Schizosaccharomyces pombe: one gene and its partners. The protein of the gene in region 3 interacts with the protein of the main gene of each other region in a biochemical or structural test. Each region holds a gene or a part of one and is shown on either strand. Other genes may lie near its edges. The genes, in order: cdc10, rep2 and res1.

The links.
Region 1: the proteins of res1 (region 3) and cdc10 form a complex in vitro, tested with the Schizosaccharomyces pombe proteins (one study listed by BioGRID).
Region 2: the proteins of res1 (region 3) and rep2 form a complex in vitro, tested with the Schizosaccharomyces pombe proteins (one study listed by BioGRID).

Annotation. Positions count from the first base shown.
Region 1 is NC_003423.3:2,760,241-2,767,525, forward strand, and holds cdc10 (DNA-binding transcription factor, MBF transcription factor complex subunit Cdc10), read right to left. Parts: upstream 3,561-7,285; 5' UTR 3,351-3,560; coding exon 1,047-3,350; 3' UTR 926-1,046; downstream 1-925. Other genes in the region: GARP complex subunit Vps52, read left to right, coding at 1-925; mmp2 (endopeptidase catalytic subunit), read right to left, coding at 4,075-4,225, 4,293-4,442, 4,515-4,756; PAN complex subunit Ppk26, read right to left, coding at 5,080-5,127, 5,234-5,311, 5,359-5,890, 5,971-6,196, 6,234-6,344, 6,390-6,539, 6,582-6,726, 6,766-6,861 and 3 more. UniProt on the Schizosaccharomyces pombe protein: Major component of the cell cycle transcription factor complex MBF (MCB binding factor, also known as DSC1), that controls G1-S phase specific gene expression. Involved in the control of rRNA production, via interaction with pol5.
Region 2 is NC_003423.3:1,715,004-1,721,082, forward strand, and holds rep2 (transcriptional activator MBF subunit Rep2), read left to right. Parts: upstream 1-2,699; 5' UTR 2,700-3,220; coding exon 3,221-3,880; 3' UTR 3,881-4,319; downstream 4,320-6,079. Other genes in the region: cytochrome c oxidase subunit VII Cox7, read right to left, coding at 137-157, 208-300, 368-433; mrpl35 (mitochondrial ribosomal protein subunit L35), read right to left, coding at 4,548-5,474. UniProt on the Schizosaccharomyces pombe protein: Transcriptional activator which interacts with the mcb binding subunit complex formed by res2 and cdc10. Rep2 is required for the mitotic cell cycle start.
Region 3 is NC_003423.3:1,229,550-1,237,019, reverse strand, and holds res1 (MBF transcription factor complex subunit Res1), read right to left. Parts: upstream 4,435-7,470; 5' UTR 3,686-4,434; coding exon 3,460-3,685; intron 3,333-3,459; coding exon 1,645-3,332; 3' UTR 1,433-1,644; downstream 1-1,432. Other genes in the region: GTP-binding protein Nog1, read left to right, coding at 1-136; RNA polymerase I transcription factor subunit Rrn11, read left to right, coding at 653-1,009, 1,124-1,369; orotate phosphoribosyltransferase Ura5, read right to left, coding at 5,294-5,941; acetylglutamate synthase Arg6, read right to left, coding at 6,227-7,470. UniProt on the Schizosaccharomyces pombe protein: Acts as a positive regulator of the mitotic cell cycle and as a negative regulator of sexual differentiation. May be involved in the transcriptional regulation of the cdc22 and cdt1 genes. Is an integral component of the DSC1-like complex.

The DNA of each region.
Region 1 (7,285 bases), 1.5 Mb from region 3:
GATGAATTGGTTTTATCTATACCACTTCGAACAGTACTCTAGGTTTTTGGACAAAGTTCATGTCCTTAAGGGAGAAACTATTCGCGTTGAAGAGGATCGGAAAGGACTCTTCAACCTTTCCAAAGGAGCACAACAATCTTACGGGAATCAAATGCTCTCAGTAAACTTGCGCCCTCAGGATTTTGATATGAACTCTGTGTTGACAGCATCTACAATGCATCATATTGAATCTTCCCCACAATATATTGAACGTGTTTATTGCTCATGGGAATTAGTCTTGACGGAACACGTCTCTTCTGAATATGCTTTTTTGCTGGAGTACTTTAACCTCTCTAAAGATCAGCAGGCTACCGTTTTTGCCGCTATCTTTGAAAAAACTTTACATTTTTCACGCAAATACATTACAGGATTGATATCAAGCAGTATCGATTGCATAGGTATTTTGAAGTCCATTCGTTTTACTCAAAAATTAGCTTTACAGGCGCAAACTAATATAGTGCCTGTTATTGAGCCACACTATAACTCCATGATTCTTTTTCTGTGGCCTCGCTTTCAAGCTGTCATGGACATGCACTGTGAGTCACTCCGTAAAACTAACTTATCTGTGAAGCCAGAAGAAATCACTTCGCGACCTCATCCACTTTCGCAGCGAGTAGCTGAACTACTTTATAGCCTTTCGATGCTAAGTGTTAATGTCGTAGAAGCCGAGCCTGTTGCACGAAGTGCTTCAAGACTAGCTCAGGATTATGTGAGCATGTTACAAAACCTGTGTAAAACAGTTAATGACAAAAGGAGACAAAGTAGGTTTTTGTCCAATAATTATACCCTCATTTCGACTGTTCTTAGCGGCGTATCGGGAAATTTAGCTATAGAGCAAAAAACATATTTCGAAAAGCTTAATGAAAATTTAACTAATTTCCAATAGCCAAGATTATTAACATATAATAAATTACGTTTTATTCATTTGGTAGGATTCTATATTAAGAAAAAAATTAAAGTAGTTAATTATTTCAGGACACTTTAGTGGTAAACCACAAAAAGCAATATTATGCTTGATGTTCTTTAACAACACGTAAGAATCCAGCAACTCGACCCATATCTACTTCTCCCTGTTGACCGTCACTTTCCACGGCTTGTAACAAACTTTCCAATAATGAATCCACTCGAGATTCATCGACACCGGTGCATAGGGAAACAACCCGACGGCACTTTGATTTTATGTTGGAATTTCGTTGCCAAAGTTTGTTCGCTAATTCGTTTAATCTGGCTTCATTTCTCTCATAAGCAGCAACTTGAAACTTCAATTCAGCAATAGATAAATTTTTGTTGTTGTTTTCATTGACAGTAAAAGGAGCGTCAGCATCCAATGATAATGAATCGTGTATTCCATTGGGATCAAAAGATTCATAAAGATTACTTAATTCACTTTTCTGTTCTTCGATCGAAGTCATAAGATTTTTACAACGTTGCCTTAATTCAAGAAACAAAGTTCTTTGCGTCTCGGACACGTGTAGTTGTTCACGAAGATCGGACAGCTTTTTTGTAGATTCACGCAATTGGGTGTAGGCTGAGTCAATCATAGACTGTTTTGCAGCCATTTCATCCTGAAAATCTTTATCCAGAGAAGATATTACATCGGTCACAGAGGCGATAATGTCTCTACTCTTTTGACGAGGAGGGACAGCAGTCTTTTCTTTGCTGGACAGATTTTCACTCATAAGGGAAACTTTTGTTTGTTTTGAGTCTTCGGGTTGTTTTAATGCGTTTTCAACAAAAATTCCAAAATTTGCTACGCTTAACCCTGCACGATTAGGAATATAAGCGGAAGCTCCGGCTTGCATTAAAACTTCAACAATGTTCTTATTTCCAATTCTTGCTGCGATATTTAAAGCTGTATCCCCATTTTTATCTTGATGATTTAAATAGTTTATGAAGTCTTTCAGCATATATCCGTTGTTACCACTTGCATGTTTCTTTGCCCAATTTAATAAGGTTTCTAAGTAATATCTCGATGCTGAACCTCGGCCTTTTATACCTGCAGTAAGACAAATGTGATGAACGACGGTCCGTCCAGCTCGATCTGTACAGGGAAGAGATGCGTAAAGCAAGTCTAGTAAATCACCAAAAGAGTTCTGATTGAGATGATTGGTTACCAAAACCGATCTCATTAATGCCGTTTCTCCTGTGAGGTTGCCACGTAAAGGATTAGCTCCTTTATGTATTAAGGCTTGTAACAAAGGCATTTTGGCAACGGCTGCTGCCCAGTGCAGAGCGGCGTGTCCAAGTTCGTCAATGGGGACATCCAAATCTAATGAGTCCGACAGCTTTGCTTCTAAGGCGCTGGAATCAGCAAAGTTTACATCTAAAAAGATAGAGGTCAAAATGTCTTTTGATGTATGATAATCCTGCATAATATTCTGATCAAGTGGAGGAAGACTAGAAACCAAGGATACAAAAGAAAGTGAATGGTTCAACCTTGGCGTATCTGGAAACAATGAAGAGGCCTCATTATCATTTAACTGTGAGGAGGGATGTAAGTCTTCATCACTGACATCAATTCTATGCCGTTTTAAACGCTGTTCAAGGATAGGTGGAGAGGTGGAGAGGTAATTGTTAGAGCGTTTAACATTTTGGCTATCAATTTGAGTTAAAGGTAGTAAGAAAGAGGAAGAAGGTGAAGGTGAACTCTGCATATTGTTTATAGTGTGCACCCCATTCTTTGAAGACTTGCTAGGGTTTGAAAAATTATGATTCCTCAAAGGGGATCGCGTATTAAAAGAAGAAGTATTTAAATTTTTGGAGATTGAAGAACTTTCGATTTGTTGCTGCTTTGAAAATTTGGGGAATAAATCAAGATTAAAAGAAATTAATGGTTGTAAAATTTCATAAACCCCATATCGCTTTGCTATAGAAATTGCTCGATCATATGGAACCCATACTCCATCTATTTGAGGGTGTTTGGAGTCAACATTCTCATAGTCCCCACTCTCGATAATATCATCCAATTCTTTGGCGTTTTCAGATGACGAAGTACCAGCAAGTCGAAGTATTTGAGAGATATTAAAGTAAGAATCTGGACATCTTCGAAGAGCAACATTATCCCCACAGCTAAGCTCCATATATTTCATGCCTGAACATTCGACAGCATACAATTCTACGGGTCGGCCATCACGTAAAACTTGGGAGTTAATAAAAATCCTTGAACTAGAGTCTTTTAAAGTAGATGAATCGTTTAGTTTGTTTATATTTCTGTTTGAAAGGGGTTGTGATGGCTCATCCTCTGGGCGTTTTTGGTATGAAAAAGAATCGTTCCCCAGCTCAAACTGGCGAATAAAATTGGCTGAAGCCATTATAGTATATTAAAATAAAAAATGCCGAAAAAATATCGAATTTTTTATAAAGGGCAGCACGTTTTTCTCGAAAATAAGGGTGCTGAACTGACCATGAAAGAAGACTCGAGCTCCTCACCACTTGGTTTGTTTAAGAGATTGTGAATTCCTTTCTTTTTCAAATAAATAGAAGTAATTTTTTCGGATTTCGTGTTATACACAAATTCGCTCTGGGAAGGTTCACGCAGCTGTATACATTTGGTACGGCGTTAGACCGTATTCGAAGTAACGATATATGAGGCTTCCTAAGGAAAACAAAGGACTACTTCAATGTTCGTTTCTTCTGGGGGTTTTATTTAAAGGCTACTTAGAAATGGAATTCTTTCTCATTTCAAATACCCTGTTGAAAAATTTCCAACTTTGCTATACTCAACGACTTTACTGTTTCGGGATATGCAAAAGAGACGGATTTTTCAGTCAATTCTAATTTTCCCTAAATAAAAGTTTTGATGTTGAGTATGAAAAAATTATATTTTTTTATTGGTATTTCTAATACAAAGTAGCTTCCAACTTCCATCTTTTTCAAATAGGTAAATAGATAGACATATTAATGACGTCATATATAGAACGCGACGCGTCGAAATAAATTAAATTTAAGGATAACGTGTTCCTTAAAAGAAATGTAAATAAGCACCAACCAGCATGGAACTAAACTGTCAAGGAAACAGGTTCACTGTGGTGCAGCTTACTTAACAGAACGTTTTCCACTTAAAAACACTGCATTCTTTCGGAAACCTTCATGATCAATACGCCCTGCACGAGAGAAGGGAAACAAAATTGCAATCACTTTGGCAGTGATGAGTCCTGTCGATACTGGGCCAAATTTGTTACTATCACTGTAAACTAGTTAATATCTCTATAGAAGAAAACGAAAAAGTAAAAAAACAATTGTTGGAAACCTACATAGAATGAAATTGTTCATCGCCTTCGACCCACACATGTCCCTCGGGAACGGGTACTAATGACAACTTTTTAGGAGGTCTCGTTTTCATGATATCGTATTCTACTCCTAGAACTCTTTTTACCAATAGTTCCTCTGGGTTTTCTGGAGAGCTTGTTGCTTATTAGTAACGATAAAAAGGGAAACTCAGTACCGAAAGACCCTGCAACGATCCAAGAACTTACCGTAGTATAACTACATCTCCTCTTTTGTAATCCTTATTCCATTTCCAAAGTAGTACCCTATCTCTCTGCAGCATGTTTGTCTCAGGGTTAAAGGCTGGTTTCATAGATCTACCTTCAATTGTACCGACGCTGACTACATGTTGTTCAACGAACATTAATACGGGTACCCATAGGGTAATTCCGACTAAATTTTTAAAAAATACTGATTTAAAAGATTGATTTCGAACGAAAGGGTTTGCCATTTTTTGAGGACAACTGCTAAACTCTCTCCTCTAAGAAGTTTATGATTAACCGTCTGTATGTACCTTAACAAGCATGGGAGTTTCCGTAATTAATAATTAAACCAGGAAAACGTATTAATGAATTTTATCTGATAAGTGTCAGGCTTCTATTCCTGATCGTTTTTGTTTCAATACGGTGTGTTGCAGTAGGTAATTCAAAACCACATTAAGCTTAGCTTCCTTCTAATATTATTATAGCGAAAACTATTATTTACTTAAATTAACAACCATGGTAATAGATACAAAAAAACAAATAAATATTCTGTAAAGAAAAATGTTTTATTTTAAGAATTTATTTCCATTTCGTAAACGTTGTCCAACCAAGCTTTTAGCTACATTTGTTATTGTTAGTAATTTTGCAAACAAACAGGCTATATAGTGTGGAAAAGTAGTCTAATTTACTAAGCACCCACTATGGCTTTTTGAGCAAATACTTACCTCCCCATAAGAAACTGAAACACAATCAAGTTCATCTCGGGAAATTAATGCGATGGCTTGATTTATACCGGCATCAAGCTAATGAATTAATAAATGCAATAATGAGAAAAATGTAAAAAACTTACCTTTCCCAGGCGATTCAGCACTTGATATAAATCTATCACAGGACACTCATCTTCATCTATCTGATGGAAAAGATAATCTCGTAATAAGTAGATTAATGAAATTTCTTTTTCTCGTGCGATAGGATATTCACGAGAAGCTCTATTATTATCAATAATAAACATAATCTTGCACAAAATATTAAAAAATCGACCGTGTTGGAAAGCGTCCGAAATTTTTCTCTCCATTTTTTCGCATTCCACGTATGGTGAACTCATTATAGGGAAAAAACTTTCTATGTGATTTTGCAAAAACAACTCCAAGTTTTTATCCTCAGGAACTTCCGATACAAAGTATAAAACCGCTTTATAAAATTCCCTCGAATATGTACTATAAATTGCTCGTGCGGCTGAAGACATGTCCATATCAGTTCTTCCAGTAGCTAAATTCGCAATCACAACTCCAAGATCTACAAAATCCTGCTTCTTTCGTTCCTCTAATGGAGGCTTGTTTGACACTACCAATTCATAGTCAGCGCAACCACTAATACGAATCCTTTACACGTTAGTATAAGTCATTAATGAATTAAAGAAATGTATTCCATCAAAACATAAAAAATGTTCAAAAAAAAATACCTTTCAGTTTGATCCACAAGGATTCTCGACGGAGTAAGCTTGTTGCAAGCAAACCCGGATTTATGTAGATATGACAAAGCGATAGTAAGCTGGAAAAAATAATTCCATAACTCTCGTTCTGGAATTTTTCTATTTTCCTCCAACTTGACAGAATTTTTAGAATTGTTTAGGTAGAGCTCACCAAGGGTTGTAGTACACGGATAAAAATCATAAATTAATAGTAACGCTTGATTAATTAGTAAGGTTTAGTAAAATAAACTTACAAGAATCATGAAATGTATCAGTATGAAAAGCAGAATGGAATGGTACGATATTTGGATGAAAAACATTTTTAAGCTTGTCGACAGTCGACGTATCAATATTAATTGAACAGTCTTTTAAATATATTAGCAATTGCAATTTATGAATCTGAAGGTTACCTTGGAGTCGTTTCAAAACGTAAGCATTCCCATCGATGGAAGAAGTGCATTTGTACGTCCAAGAAGAGAATCCAATTTGCTCTTTATACCGATAAAGCTTTGTATTCAGTGGCGCCAAAGAAGTATATGAAGATATAATAGACGGAAGCGCTAAAATATTAGTATAAAGGAAGCTAGACACAAATTAAGTACCTGAAATTGTCTGACGGGATGCCTCGCTCTTTCTCTCGATTCTTTCTCTAGTCGTATCATCAATAAATAGACCGTTTACAGTTCTTTCATAAGGAAGTAAAGTTGGCATGGGAGAAGGTTGCGGATTATATAAATTGTACAATGTCTGTTGTTGTCAACAACAATAATAAGGCTTTAGACTTACGGGTTTAAACTGGTTTTGACGAGTATAATAAACCCCAGAGTCATCATGAAAAGGCTCATTGACCAACATAGATGCATTATTGTAAGGATTAATAGCCTAAAATTACAGTAAAATTAGTAAGAAAAATATAAGCTGTTAGCCAGACATACATGACTACCTGGTGAAAGCGCAACAGGGGTACGCTCTCTAGATAGAAAAAGAGATTTTTCTTGTGATTTAGGAACAAATACTGCAGCGCCAGCAGCCTTTACTGGTAAAGCGCGAACAGGTTGAAAAGAGGCCGACGCAGCATTCAGTTTTTTCTTACTAGCGAGGTTAATTATACGTACAAAGCCTTAAAAAAAATCATACACTGAGTATTGCTCCAAATTCTCTGAAGAAGGGATGAAAGGCTACAAACAATCGTAAGCAAGAAGCTTCTCTGAAGTTAAGAGAATACGCCTATACTTACACCATCATGTCGAAAAGCACATCCATTTTCTGAATGCTTACAGGATCCATAAAGTAAGATATTTCTACA
Region 2 (6,079 bases), 490 kb from region 3:
TCGTAAAGAAACACGAAATCGATTAGTTCGTGATTGAAAAGCTAAACTAATTCAAGAAGAAGGGGGTGATAAATAGAAGGAAAAGGCATCATAGAAATTTGAAGTTCCCTGACATAAAAATATGCTTCGGATGTCCTCAAAAAGCATCTTTCTTCCCCTAATTTTGAAAGGTTAGAAAAAAATAGTATAAATCGAGTAATAACATACGAAAATGACTCTTCCAGAGGCATAAAGGGAATACAAACCAAGACCAGCCATAACAGCGTAGTAAGGATAAACAAGAGCAAAACTACCTGGTCTCTAAATATTAAACAATTAGGTTCTTTTTTCTCTTCATAATTAAAAACAAGTTTCGTTTAAAACTTACCTGCAAGTAAGTTGGTTTGTGGATGCTTTGGAGAAAGCGTTGTTGTTGAACAATAGTATTCTTCATTTTTTTCTTTTTTAATTAATAATTGTTTTAATAATTATAAAACGAACCAATAATCAAGTTAACAAGTTAAACTGTTAAAAAAATGAGGGTTAACGATAAAATGTAGGTAGGTGCGGAAAGGATTGATGGTTCCAATTAGTACATCTTGGTGCCAGAACACAGAGTCAACCTCATAAACTCACATATTTAAGTATATTAATAAGACGGTTAAGTGAAAGATATTCGTATTATTAAAAAAATGCTCCTTTATCGTTTTTGGTATGTATCATTTTAAATTAATCTTACTGAACGAGATTAACGCTAATAATATAAATTAATTGTTGTCAAATAATTTAAGGACGGAATCATTGTCAGATTGATTCTTCTTCAAAAACTAAAGCTATCTCCTTATAAGCTATTGGGGAATCTCTTTCAAACATGGTATAAATGCGTCCATGGCATACTCGGAGCAATAATAGTATAGCGATCAAAGTTAATAATGAAGATGCATTTGCTTGTACTTATATAAATTCTTATGGTTGTTGAGATAAGGGAACAATTTTATACTGAGTTACATATGTTCTATCCTTCATCAGTATTCTCTACAAACGCGAAAATTCCTTGTCCATTTAAGCAATTCGTATTACAAAGCTCTATGTTCATATTATACGAAGGACGTTGAAAGTTTTTAATTGATTCTGACAATGACTTACAGATAGAATATGATGGTTTGAGTTATTGAAAATGCTAAATCGTCTTTTCAAGTAATTGATGAACTAAAACAGTTTCTTATACATTATATTTCAGAAAGTACTTTAAAGATACTCTGCTTTCTTCCTTGTTTTTTTTTTTTTTTCTTTTTTTTTTTTTTTGGAATACTAATACCGAGAAAACTTTCGTCAAATTTTATGGGCCTAATAATAATCTTATGAAATTAAGGTGCACTTAACCGAGCTATACTTTAAAGATTACAATTATCACAACTGAACACAACATTATATTGTTGGGGTAAACCTTTAAATTTCATGCATTTGAAGAAAATTGATTGCATTAGCTTAAAATATAGCTCACTTAGTGACTGGATGATCATCATAATATTATGTCGAGTTTTGTTTATTAGTCTTCCACTGTGAGCTGTTCAAAACTAAGATTATTTAACGTATTTTCATTGGCATAGTGTTGGAGGAAGTTAAAAATAATAAGCAAAGTAACCTCTGGAAGGATAAAACTGTCTATAAAAATAGCAATTACGCTACAAAAGTTTATAGCTTTTACGGCTTTAATGCTATTCTCATTTACAGGTACTAAGACTCCTTTGGATGCTTAGTTACAGTGATAGGGCATAATTAGAATCTTCAATAAAATAGGGGTTTGAAAAACTAAACTACTTGTGAGAAAGAATTAAGCCTTACGTCTCTTTGAGTGAATTCCCTTTTCTGCTTTGTTAATCCATAATCTGCTGTATTTGACTTCAAAATACAACTTTAATTGATTTACTTTTAAAAAGTTGATTGATTGGTAAATTGAAAGTTTTTGCTGGACTTCTGCTTATTTTCACAACAATTATATTATAAAGGGTTAAGTGGTGTGCAATTGGTTTTTAAGAGTTTGAAGCAAGCTCCATGTTAATTCTAATTAAAATAAAATAGAGTGATTAATTTTAAATGGAACGGAGCAATGCTAAGCTAAATATTGAAGATTGGGTCTCGTTAAGAAAGGTTTGTGGTGCAATTTGTTTACAAGGCTTTAATGTGATAAACGGTTGACGAATGAATGAAACCAAATGGAAAACAACTTCCAAAATATTTAATAAATTTTTTAAAATTTGTTTCGCTACGATAGTCAATGAATTGACCCAATGCAGGAGAAATTTGTTGTTTCAGTAGCATTTCTGGATTTCGAGAAACAGATACATTTTAATTAATTTAATGTGTCGCCTTATTTTTTTAAACATGTAAATGACTTTTTTTCTTATGCATATTCTTTTTTTGAGAAGTTATCAATGTTTTAATTAAGTATGGTTGCTATGAGGCATGTAAACAAATGGCAACCAATTCATGTGGTAGGTGAGCAACTTGGTAATAGAAAAAAAAGTACGGTGCAAGGATATGGTAACAGTTGAGTAGCTTAAAATGTAAAAAACAACTTAAGTAACTTTTGTTTTGTTTTAATCCGTAGGATTTTATTCTCTCGGTTACTTAGCAGCCATCACATTAGTAACATACTTGTTACCTTTACCCACTGTACTTCTTATTTTCTCACCTTCTTTTCCTTGGTTCCATTTCTCGACCACTATCTCTTTCCCATTTTATCGCAAACTTATTTTTCAATACTACTTTGTGAACTACATTAAGCCTTTTGCTTTCGTTCTTCTTAGTAGTGCTTCTCTCTCTTCGGACATTGATCACTCGTTTTTTGGAAGTTCGATTTTGCGGGAAAGTTGAGATACACCATTTAATAAAGAGACTATTTGATTAATATTATAGTCAATTTTCGATCAATTCTGTGTTTTTTGTCCATTTCGCACCCACTTTTCCGTTGGTTTGTGAGACTATAGCTTTAAAAGTGAACATCTGTGTAACAGGAGTGATTGAAACTATCGTTTTTGGTTTTGATTATTTGTTTTTCTTTCCTTTCAATTTTGTTTTTTTGTGTTTAATTCGCACTTTTTGGAAGCTTCTGCTAGCTGTGTTCATCGCCCTTATCAGAAGCCTTAATCTTTTCGTTTGTTGGATTTAATTATTTATTTTGCTCGAACAATAGTAATCGTGGTATCCTGTCTCCTCTCTTTGACTAAAATCCAAAGCCATGCATTTTGCAGACATTCCTCTTAGCAAGCCATGTCTGAACAACCCCCCAACATATCCATGGTCATCCCCAATTTTATCCAGTATTGCTAATCCTTCACTATGTGATATTGTATCTTCTCCATCATCTGTTTCTTCCTTTGCTTCCTCGGATGATTTTGCATTCATGAACGCATATTGTCTGCCCATACAACAAAACCACCAATTTGGTAGTCCAGTTGCTGCTTCGCCAAACCAACAACCGCTCGTAGAAAGCCAAAATCGCCGGAATGTCACTTATGCTTCTTTAGTCATAGGAAAACTTGGAATTGCTCAACTCATTCGTCAACAAACTGATCCTCCTCAAATTATCCATAGAAAGCAAGACAAGGGCTTAATGGCAAGGGTCTTGTCTAGATCCAAGAAGCAAGAGGAGAGAGAGAATCACTCTTCTGATGCTCGTGATGCTATTAAATCTGCCCTTCGAAGGAGAATGCGCCGTCGTGAAGGCCGTGTTCAAAAGGCTTTAAGGCCCACCCCTAACTTAATTTGCTCAAAATGCAATACCACGTTCAACCATTCAACGGCTCTTATGATGCATGAAGCAACCTGCTTGAATCAAGTTCCCTTTAAGCTTTCGGACTTTTTTGTTGAGGACGTGATAGATGACTGGCTCTTTTAATATTTCCGTTCATACAAAGAAGCAGCTTTCGTATCTAGTAGCATTACGGATATGTAATAATTATCGCTTATTAATGACGCTGGTTATATAAAGCGTATTAAAATTTTGCTCAGTCGTTTTACTCTTGAGAGCTTCATCACTTCTTTTAGAGAAGTTATTTTGAGATCATAGTATAATTTACTACATCAATTAGGTAATCAAGAAATATAGTTTGAAATGATAGAAGACTGCTCTTATAACCTTGTTTTAGGAAACGATCATCTATGCACTTTTTTCTATGTTTTGCTATCAAATATCACTATTACAGACACTATCTTTTTATTTTCGCGAAAGCTATAATGAAATATATTACAATACAGCTCACACTTCATCTAGATTGAGCAAACATACTGTAAAGAGGAAACACCAGTTCTAAAGTTACAACTGACTTTAGTTTAAGGCATAGGATAGGCATTTTATTCACAGATTTGCAATTGATTTAATAAGAGGAAAGTAAAATAGGACTATGGAACAAGGCTATCGTCTTAAAAAAACCTAAGAAGGGAAATCATGTAAAAGATAAACTATTTTGACACGAGAGGAGGGAAGCAATGCATGCTAATGTTTTGAAACATGGAATGAAAAAATGACTTATAAAAACAATATTTTAGGGGCTCTTTTAGTAGTTTCATGCAGGGATACGTTCTACACGGATATCTCGATATTCGTGTACAGACGGGTGCTTGGATAATAATGCAACTGCGTCCGAATCCCAGCCACTTCTCCAAAGATGAGCGCCAACAGGTTCAAGATCATAGATTGAGCAAAACTCAGAGAGGTCAAATCGTTCGCGGACAAGTGCATTAGAAGGAATACTAATACTAGATGACTTTTGCCGCAAAACAAGGGTTAAGATACGGTGTTTATCTTCTCCACGGTGAACAATAGGAGGCCGATATTGAAAGAAAGCTTTAGAAGTATCAATGGGCACACGTTTGGATGCTTCAATGGGGATATTCGTTAAAAGCCAGTTGCAATGAGTCTCAAACCGGTTTGTTTCGTAATTCGGGACATCCAAATCTAGTGTTATAACTGAATAATGATTCTTTTTACAATTAAAGGGTAAAACTGATAGCCACGGGGTCTTTACAGTAACCGTACTTGGCAAGATAGTGCCAGGAGTGATAGAATCATTATTTTCGGGGTTAAATCCTAACTGTACGTCGACAGATGGCGAAAATGAGCCAATCCCAGAGTCCTTTATTACTTTCATCTGCTCCAATCTTTGTAAAAGAAGCAATTTTTGATAATCTTCCCACTGTTGCTTAAGCATGTAAAGGAACACCGGATTCGTGTAGTCGATCTCCTTTTTATGAAATTTAGAGCGTACTTCCGGTAAATTAATTTGTGATAAAACCTGTAACCGTTCTATTTCTGGGGAAGTTTCACTTGGGTTTTCTAATAATTTAGCCTGAAGCTTTTTGTGAACTTTCTCCGAGTATTCCTGTATTAACTTTACAGAAGAGCGATATGCATTTTCCTGAGCAGCACTGTAAATACTGCGAGCCCTACAGACATTCGAAATCGTAGGAATTCTAGGCCATACGCGTTTCATCCTTGCAATGGTAAAAGCTAAGTAATTAACGGTATGGATGTGTATAGGAATAGAATAACACAAGAGGGTATAGCGCAGTGTAAGGAATGCTAATGCACAGCTTTTTCGATATTTACGGTTATACAAAATAAAATTAGAAATGGAAACTGTGGATGTTAAACATGTTAATTGGAAAAGGTCAATCATACCGAGTCCCTTCAAGGTTATGACCAAAGTTTTAGTGGTAGGTTTAAGCAACAATTCTACTCCCGTAAGCTGCTTCTAATGGGAACTAGACTGTAGCAATAGCGTTCATGTTTAACCAAAAGCTACAAGTTATATGAAACGGTCATTTGCAAAAGTCAGTAAGTTTCAATGACTATAATGAAAATATATTGACTCGACGACACATAGTGAATCATGAGTCAGAGTCCGTATGAAGTAATATGTTCCTAATTTGACGGCTGCATTGAAAATTCAGCAATCGGAAGGAATGAATAAGAGAAAAATATTCAAAAGAAGTGAAATAGCTACGTGGGTTAATCAATAGTGTCTACGTCCAATTATTATCTGAGGTATACACATGCAACAATCACGGCATTTACATCTCAGTAAATTAAAATAAA
Region 3 (7,470 bases):
TCGCCTGGCTCGTGTCAAACAGATACACCGTAACCGCATGGCCAGGGCTTCTGAAAGTGATCGACATGTTATTGCTGCCAAGCCTAAACATTTGCTTAGCGGTAAACGTGGTAACGGTAAAACTCAAAGAAGGTAGAATAATGGTTTTGGACTTGGGGTTCTTTTTTTATATAAAACTTTAATATTTGGTTGGTTATTTGGGTTTGGATAATATGGGTGGACTTGCAAGACTTTCTACCTACATCCCTTTTTGTTTCTTCACATAAATTACTTTTGTTGGAGGATGTTGTCCATTAGGAAAGAAATTTAATATATTTCAAAGCTTTTGCTTAATGTACTTTCAGTTGACAATTGAAGCAGTTAATTATGTAGCCGTGCATAACAACACCTGTAGTTTTTGGCTGTAAATTTTATGCTGAGTAAATAGATGAAAGTAAAAAGAATGAGTAATTAAAATCTAAAGTTAATCAATAGCTAAGGTTGATCGTTGTTGAACAGAGAGGCAACTGTCGTGCTCAAGTGCTAACTGCTTTAAGATGCCAAAAACCATACCCTTGCAATTAGCAAAATAATGCTAGATTAAAAGGTTATAGTTAGATCAACTATGCTTTGTTTAAATAAGTAATACTTATAGCTTGATTCTGTTATAATCATGTTCTCTCCTTGTACCGTTAAAGAAAAACGTTCAACTTTGCGAAGTGTCGCTCCCAACCCGGAATCTTCTGTTATACCTCCAATTCCTTTACCATCAAGAAGGTATAAAACAAGACATATTGATGCACTTTGTTCGTTGATGCACCTTTGCTTATTGCGCAAAGATTACCCAAGGGCATCTAGGGCTTTTTCATTACTGTTGAGATCTAAGAGTGTTGACATTTCCAAATTATGGAACATTGGACTTGAAATTTTGAACAAAGTTAATCCAGAAGCTTCATCAGAGTATATGGAGCGACTAATAGCTCGATATCCTGCGCGTCCATCCATTAACAACTCTTATCCGAATCGTAATGTAAGTGTATACTGGTACAAAACGTCTATACTTTCATCTTTTCGTGTATTGAATTTTTTGTCCCTTCTTATTTGAAATCAATCATATGTCGCAATTCTATACTAACATTTACAGGCAGAACATTTTTTTCCAGCATATATCATGCTACTTATTCAGCGCCAAGAATACAATAAAGCTATGAAGTTGCTTGATGAGTATTTGCTGTTACCACCCTACAATCAGAATCCTGCATTGCATGAGTATTCCGGAATGTTGTGTTTTGAACTTGCCAAGGAGGAAGCTTCAGAATCTGAGCGAACTAAATGGATTGAAAAGGCGAAATACAACTTTTCAAACGCAGGAATTGACGTCGAATTGTAGATTTAACATTCCCATGGCATTTCAAAAAGCACATTAGTATATTTAATATTTTAGATTGACCATCAGAAAAATTATGTATATTAGCAAATAATAAGATGGGAAGATACATTTAAATTTAAATTTAAAACTAATCATTAGATAGCCAACGACTGTATAAAAAGATTGTTAAATATCTATAAGTTCAAGTTGGTATTTATATAAAAAACATAAAGAATGCAAAAAATAAGATAACGAAAGAAAAAATTATTTTGAATAATAATTTAAAACCAAAAAAATTAAGATCCACTTTGATCTGTATTAATCGTATTATACATTCCCATAGAAAGCAAGTTCAAAATTTCGTTAATTTTCTGTTTCCGTTGCGCTTGCAATGAGCATAATTGCTCAACGAGCTTTTCACGAGCAGCTTCGTTTTCAGCTGTAAAAAGATCAACTTCGTGTTTTGAGCTTAAAGACGAACGGTTCGTTTTAGTATCATGACCAACAAGGTTTTTGGTCTCCGAGATATCAGCTAACTCATCAGTACTCCATATTTGAGAAAAGTAAGTTACGTATTTTTTTAATTGATGAAGCTGAACTGTTTCAAGGTAATATCTAGCAGTTTTCAATGTATGCAGAAATTTTTTACACTGGTGAATCAAATCCTCCCGCTGATTTACCAAGTAGTTCTCGTCATTATTGGTACGTTCATTCCATAATCTTTGGCAAGTTTCAGTTTCCCGAACTGTTTGCTCCAACGCCTCCATTGCCAAATTATAGGTTAGTTGTTTTTCAGCAAGAGATGCTTCATGGCATTTTGAAAGTTCGCTCAGCTGAGTGAAGACATTGGGAAGGGTTTGGTGAGTAAGTTTATTAGAAAAGTAAGAAATAGGTTTTTTGGACGATAAGTGGTCATCAAGTGATTGCGGATATTTTAAGTTATCTATCAAATTATCCTCGATTTTGGAATTTAAGGGGGAATCATCATTTTCGGGAAAAGACATGTCTTTCGAAGACAAAAAATCTGTTGGGTATTGGCCCTGATTATTTGGTATGGAGGATGATGCATAAAAGGATAATAATAATCTCGCGCATTTCTTTGCACCATTTCTAGCGCAGATCAAAAGAGCGGTATCCCCATGATCATCCTGAAGGTTTATAATTTGGGCAGCGACATCAACGGATTGTGTTGCAGTTAAATTTTGCAATAAGATATCCATATAATAACGAGCGGCTTCCATCTTTGATTTAGAAGAAGCTAATAATGCGATGTGGTGAAAGACGGTTTGGCCAAAAGAGTCGTTCATGCAGATAGCAGATTGAAGCAACTCCGAAACTACCTCAAAAGTCTGTAAATCATAGTTCATGGTAAACATTACACAGCGCATCAAAGATGTTTGTTGAAGGTAATTGACAGCAACTACGTTGGCGCCTGCTTGCAATAGTGCATGCATCATTTCCAAATTTCCCATTGCAGCAGCCCAATGAAGTGCTGTATGACCATCCTCATCAATGCCAGCATTAACATCCCAATCTGATGGCCGATCATATACGAAATCAGGAGGTTGTGTAGTATTTGGTAATAAAAAGTAATCCAAGAGAGACTGCGCATAATTGTTTGAAGAAAACGGAGAAGCTTTGATATCGTGCAAAGATCCCGTAAAGGAATCAGAAGGCATATCGGGAGAGCGCGTGAAATCAGATTGAAGAGACAAAGCATCATGGATTCCTGACATTCTAGAAGTAGATGTCATATTATTGGAAGATGTGTAAGGGTAGAGTAAAGAATGCGAAGGCCGGGAAAATGACTTTTTTACTGGACTGTTTCGTCGATATGCTTCTGTAGGCTTACGATTGCTCTGAGGAGTGAACGTAGACATTGGCATGAACGCAGAGCCAGAGTATTCAATCAGAGGTTGTATTAAATCAAAAACATTATATTCATGAGCAAGTTCAACAGCTCTTTCAGAGGGTACCCAAGTTCCTGAATGAATAGTTAGTAACAGGCATCCAAAAAAGTATAAATTGATAAATAAAAACAACAGAGACAAAAATTTTATGTTATTTAAGTAGTTTTAAACCTATTGATATAGTAAGAAGTTAACACAAACCTTGATATTTTCCACAACCACCTTGAATTTTTTCATGAAGTCCCTTTTGAGCGAATTTCTCCAGAATCCTTGTCCTCCTGGGTTTATCGAGCTCTGCAATTTTAAGGATTTGCGTGGCATTAAGCCAGTTATCATGACAACGTTTCATTAAAGGAAAGCCATTGATCGTATACTCAAATACTTCCACTCCTGAATAGGTGATTTTATGTATTTGGTCGTTATACATAACGGCACTATTGGCAAGCAATTTAAAAAAAAGGAAGGAAGGAAGAGCTTCAAAACTTGATGCAATAACAACGTTTCGTCTCTCTAAATGTTTGTAATAATTTAATGTCTCAACTCCACAGCGCCAGCTATTAATATCATATAAAAAAAAAAACGAAGCAAATGAGAAAGAAGAAGCAAATTGAAATTTCCTCTACAAAATATCGATAGTTTTTGAAAACCGAGTATTTATAGCAGATAAAGTCGGAAATACATATGATACTAACTGCATGCACTAAAGAAAGGATATATTCTCTCAGCGGCGTTTGCCTCAAAGATTTTTTCAATTAAAAAGTATTTAACTCTATGTTTTGAGTTAAAAACAGATGTTTTTAAAGACCTCTGCTATCCCTAAAAATCCACGTATCTTACCAGCTGATGTAAGATACTCAACTACCAAGAACTTTAATATGTAAGGACAGAAACCTTTCGAAACTTTCCAGATCACGATTTGTATAATTTAAATCAAAAAGCTGTAGATTTGGGTTTATCGACTACGGAGCCGATTTAGTCCGGATTTTTTCAACAGCGAGATCTCAGAAAAATCGAAAAACACTGCTTCTTACTCACCAAAAAAATCCCTAAAATCACAGTAAAGTGCTTCAGGAAATGCGGATCCTTTTTTTGATAAAAAGGAAATTTGCTTGCTTTTTTAAGATCTCACACAAACAGAACTAAATCTTTCACCCTCTCTTATGGTGAGTTAGTGGTAAACGATAAATACTTGAAGGTTACATATTAGTAACTCAATTATTGTACCATTCGATTCCACTATGTTAAACCAATTGTATTACATAAATGATAAAGAATTTCATTGTTCAACTCGAGTTTTTCTAATAAACCATTTTTATTTATAGACTGCAGTGACTACTTATTCAAATTCACATTGAATATGAGAATAAAAACATTCCAAAATTTCTTAACATTTTCTTGTCATAATAAAAAGTTAATCACCAGGCTTCTGTTTAAAGGTTTTACCATTATTTAATATTTGGTATTTCAAACACAGAGCATAAATACCCGTCGCAGAATTGAAAAATAAAATCCTAAATTTTTTATAATTGCCCATTATATGCGTCTTTCGAACGTAAATAATCATCACTAAAAACCAAATCCTACAAATTTTTACAAAAATAATACACAAATACCATTTTGTGAAACATTAATTATCCCTCAACTCAATATTTTGGTAGCTTCATTCCTAACTGTCATCTTGGAAAGATTCGAATAACACAAAAGAAGAAACAAACACAAAAAAAACAGATTCACGGAACTAATCAAAAGATAGATGGATATGTGCAAAACAAAAGCTTAACAAGTAAACCAATTTCCTTCGTCTATTATAGAGAAATTTTTGAATACCGCTAAATGCAATCGCTTTATAGAAAATTCCTTCTAATATGAGTTGTATCTATCACCACAAATATACAGATAAAAAAATTCTATAACATATGTAAATACCAACTAACTTCACTCTCTTTAAAAAAGCAAAGCTAAAAACCAAAAAAGATACTTATCCAATTATTCTCTTTCCTCCTTCCAAATTTTTAAAAGAAACATTACCATAAGCTCATTTGGCTTGGTACTGCTGTCTGTAAGCATCCATTGCCTTTGATTCAGCTGCAGTTAAGTCTGATTTGGTAAAGTCAACAATGTCGTCCAAAGTAAGGATGGAGGAAACGGGTAAGTTAAGCTCCTTCTTCAATCTACCAATGGTACTTTCGTTTACTTCGGGGTCCAGTCGCTCTTGGCGGTCAAGCAAAAGGACGATACCAGCCAATTTTACGTGCTTAGGTTCTAAGAAGGAAATTGCTTCACGAATGGCAGTTCCAGCGGTAATAACATCATCCAAAAGTAAAACCTTTTTACCTTCCATTTCGGCGCCTACAAGGTTACCTCCTTCACCATGGGACTTGGCCTCTTTGCGGTTATAGGCAAATCCATAGCTCTTTCCAGTTTTTTCATAAAGTTTGACGGCCGTTATAGCAGCCAAAGAGATACCCTTATAAGCAGGACCAAATATGACATCAAAATCAACGTTCATAGCGATAATAGTCTCGGCATAGGCTTCTGCAAGAGCGCATAAATCGGCACCATGAGTGAAATTACCAGAATTGAAGAAGTATGGAGATTTTCTGCCTGATTTTAAGGTGAAAGTTCCAAACTTCAAAACATTATGTTCTAAGGCACGACGCAACAACTCAAGTTTATAAGACATGTTTACTACTAGTTTTGTTGATAAACGTTGATACTCACAAAAGAAAAAAGCTAGTATCACCTTTTCTAAGCTCTACATGGGGGTTATGTGGGGGAATAAACAAAAATCATAACTAAAGAAAAATGCAAGTTTGTAGGCAAACTACTCAATCTATAATCTAATGTGCAAAAGAGAATTAATGTCCTATCAAAATGGACTTTTTTCCTTTTATTAAAAAGTTTGACAAGTGCTTTTGAAGAAGCGAAATAATCTTGTCTCTGATAAAGTGCAATCGTTAACTTCCACTCAATTCAACCATGTTGGCTGAATTTTATCAATAACGCTCATATACTGGTTCACTCGATCCAAATTTCTGACATGTGAGTCTCCAGTCCAGAAAAGTTTCCAAGGTGTTTTGCTTGACTTTAAGGAGCCTACACTTCTTTCAAAGTACCATTTATTGACTGGATTAGTCAGGCGAGAGCGCCATATCAACTCTTTGGGAAATAAATCAGTCATAACATTAAACATAACATCAGATATTGCTGCTGAACCCTGGGCTCCTTGTGAGACGGCAAGCTTATCAAGATAAGGGACCTTTTCATTCGTTGTTCCATCTGGTTGTTCATAAGTTACAATGGCTGTCCCTAAATAGTCCCCTGCAATAATGACTGCAGCTAGCGAATTCTTCAACCTATCTAAATATGCGTCCATATCAAGCGTTCGCTTAAAGGAGTCATTAATTAAAACCCAAAGCCTTTCCCACGAAACGGAGCCATCAGTTAGACATTTCGGACCTAGGAATGTATATACCGGTACACCGCTACGCAAAACAGTTGTTTTCGTAATAGGAGATCGATCGCGCGGCAAGGAACATGAAATAATAGAGCGATCCGTCAAAACATTGTGAATTAACGGATTTTTGTCTAAGACAGGATTTGTAAGCATAGCATCCTCAGGCGTAGTGATTAGAGCAGAGGCATCATCCGGTAACATTTTCAAACAGCGTCTTACCAAAATCAAATTTTTTCTATGATAAGGTGGAAGTGTTTTCGCTAACTCGTCAAACTCTTGAGCCAGATTGATGAGAACATGACTAGAACCAGTTTGTCGTTTAGAACATGGCATGCCACCATTTTTATCAAGAATGACGATTCGGTCTACCCAAAACCCAAAGTTTGGCTTGTGTAACGAGTAAGTTAAACCAGCAAGAACCTCATTACCATCAATTGGAACCTCAATGACGTTGGGCATTAAAATCGAGCTTGGCACTATGACCGTGTAAAGTGAAGACAGCGCTTGAAAAATACCTTGCACATTCTCAACACTAGGGCCTTCAGGGCCCAATTGACATACAGAGGAGTAGCTAGGACGGGTTAACACTCCCGCTTTCGAAAAAATTTCCGAAACTCGAATGACTCTATTTTGCTGTTGCTGTAGCTCCTCAAAGATTGAAAGTTTACGTTTTTTCGCTACGACCGTACCATTCTCCAAATATTTAAAAGGAGATGTCATGCCAATTGGATTGGAAGTGGGAACAATCACTGATT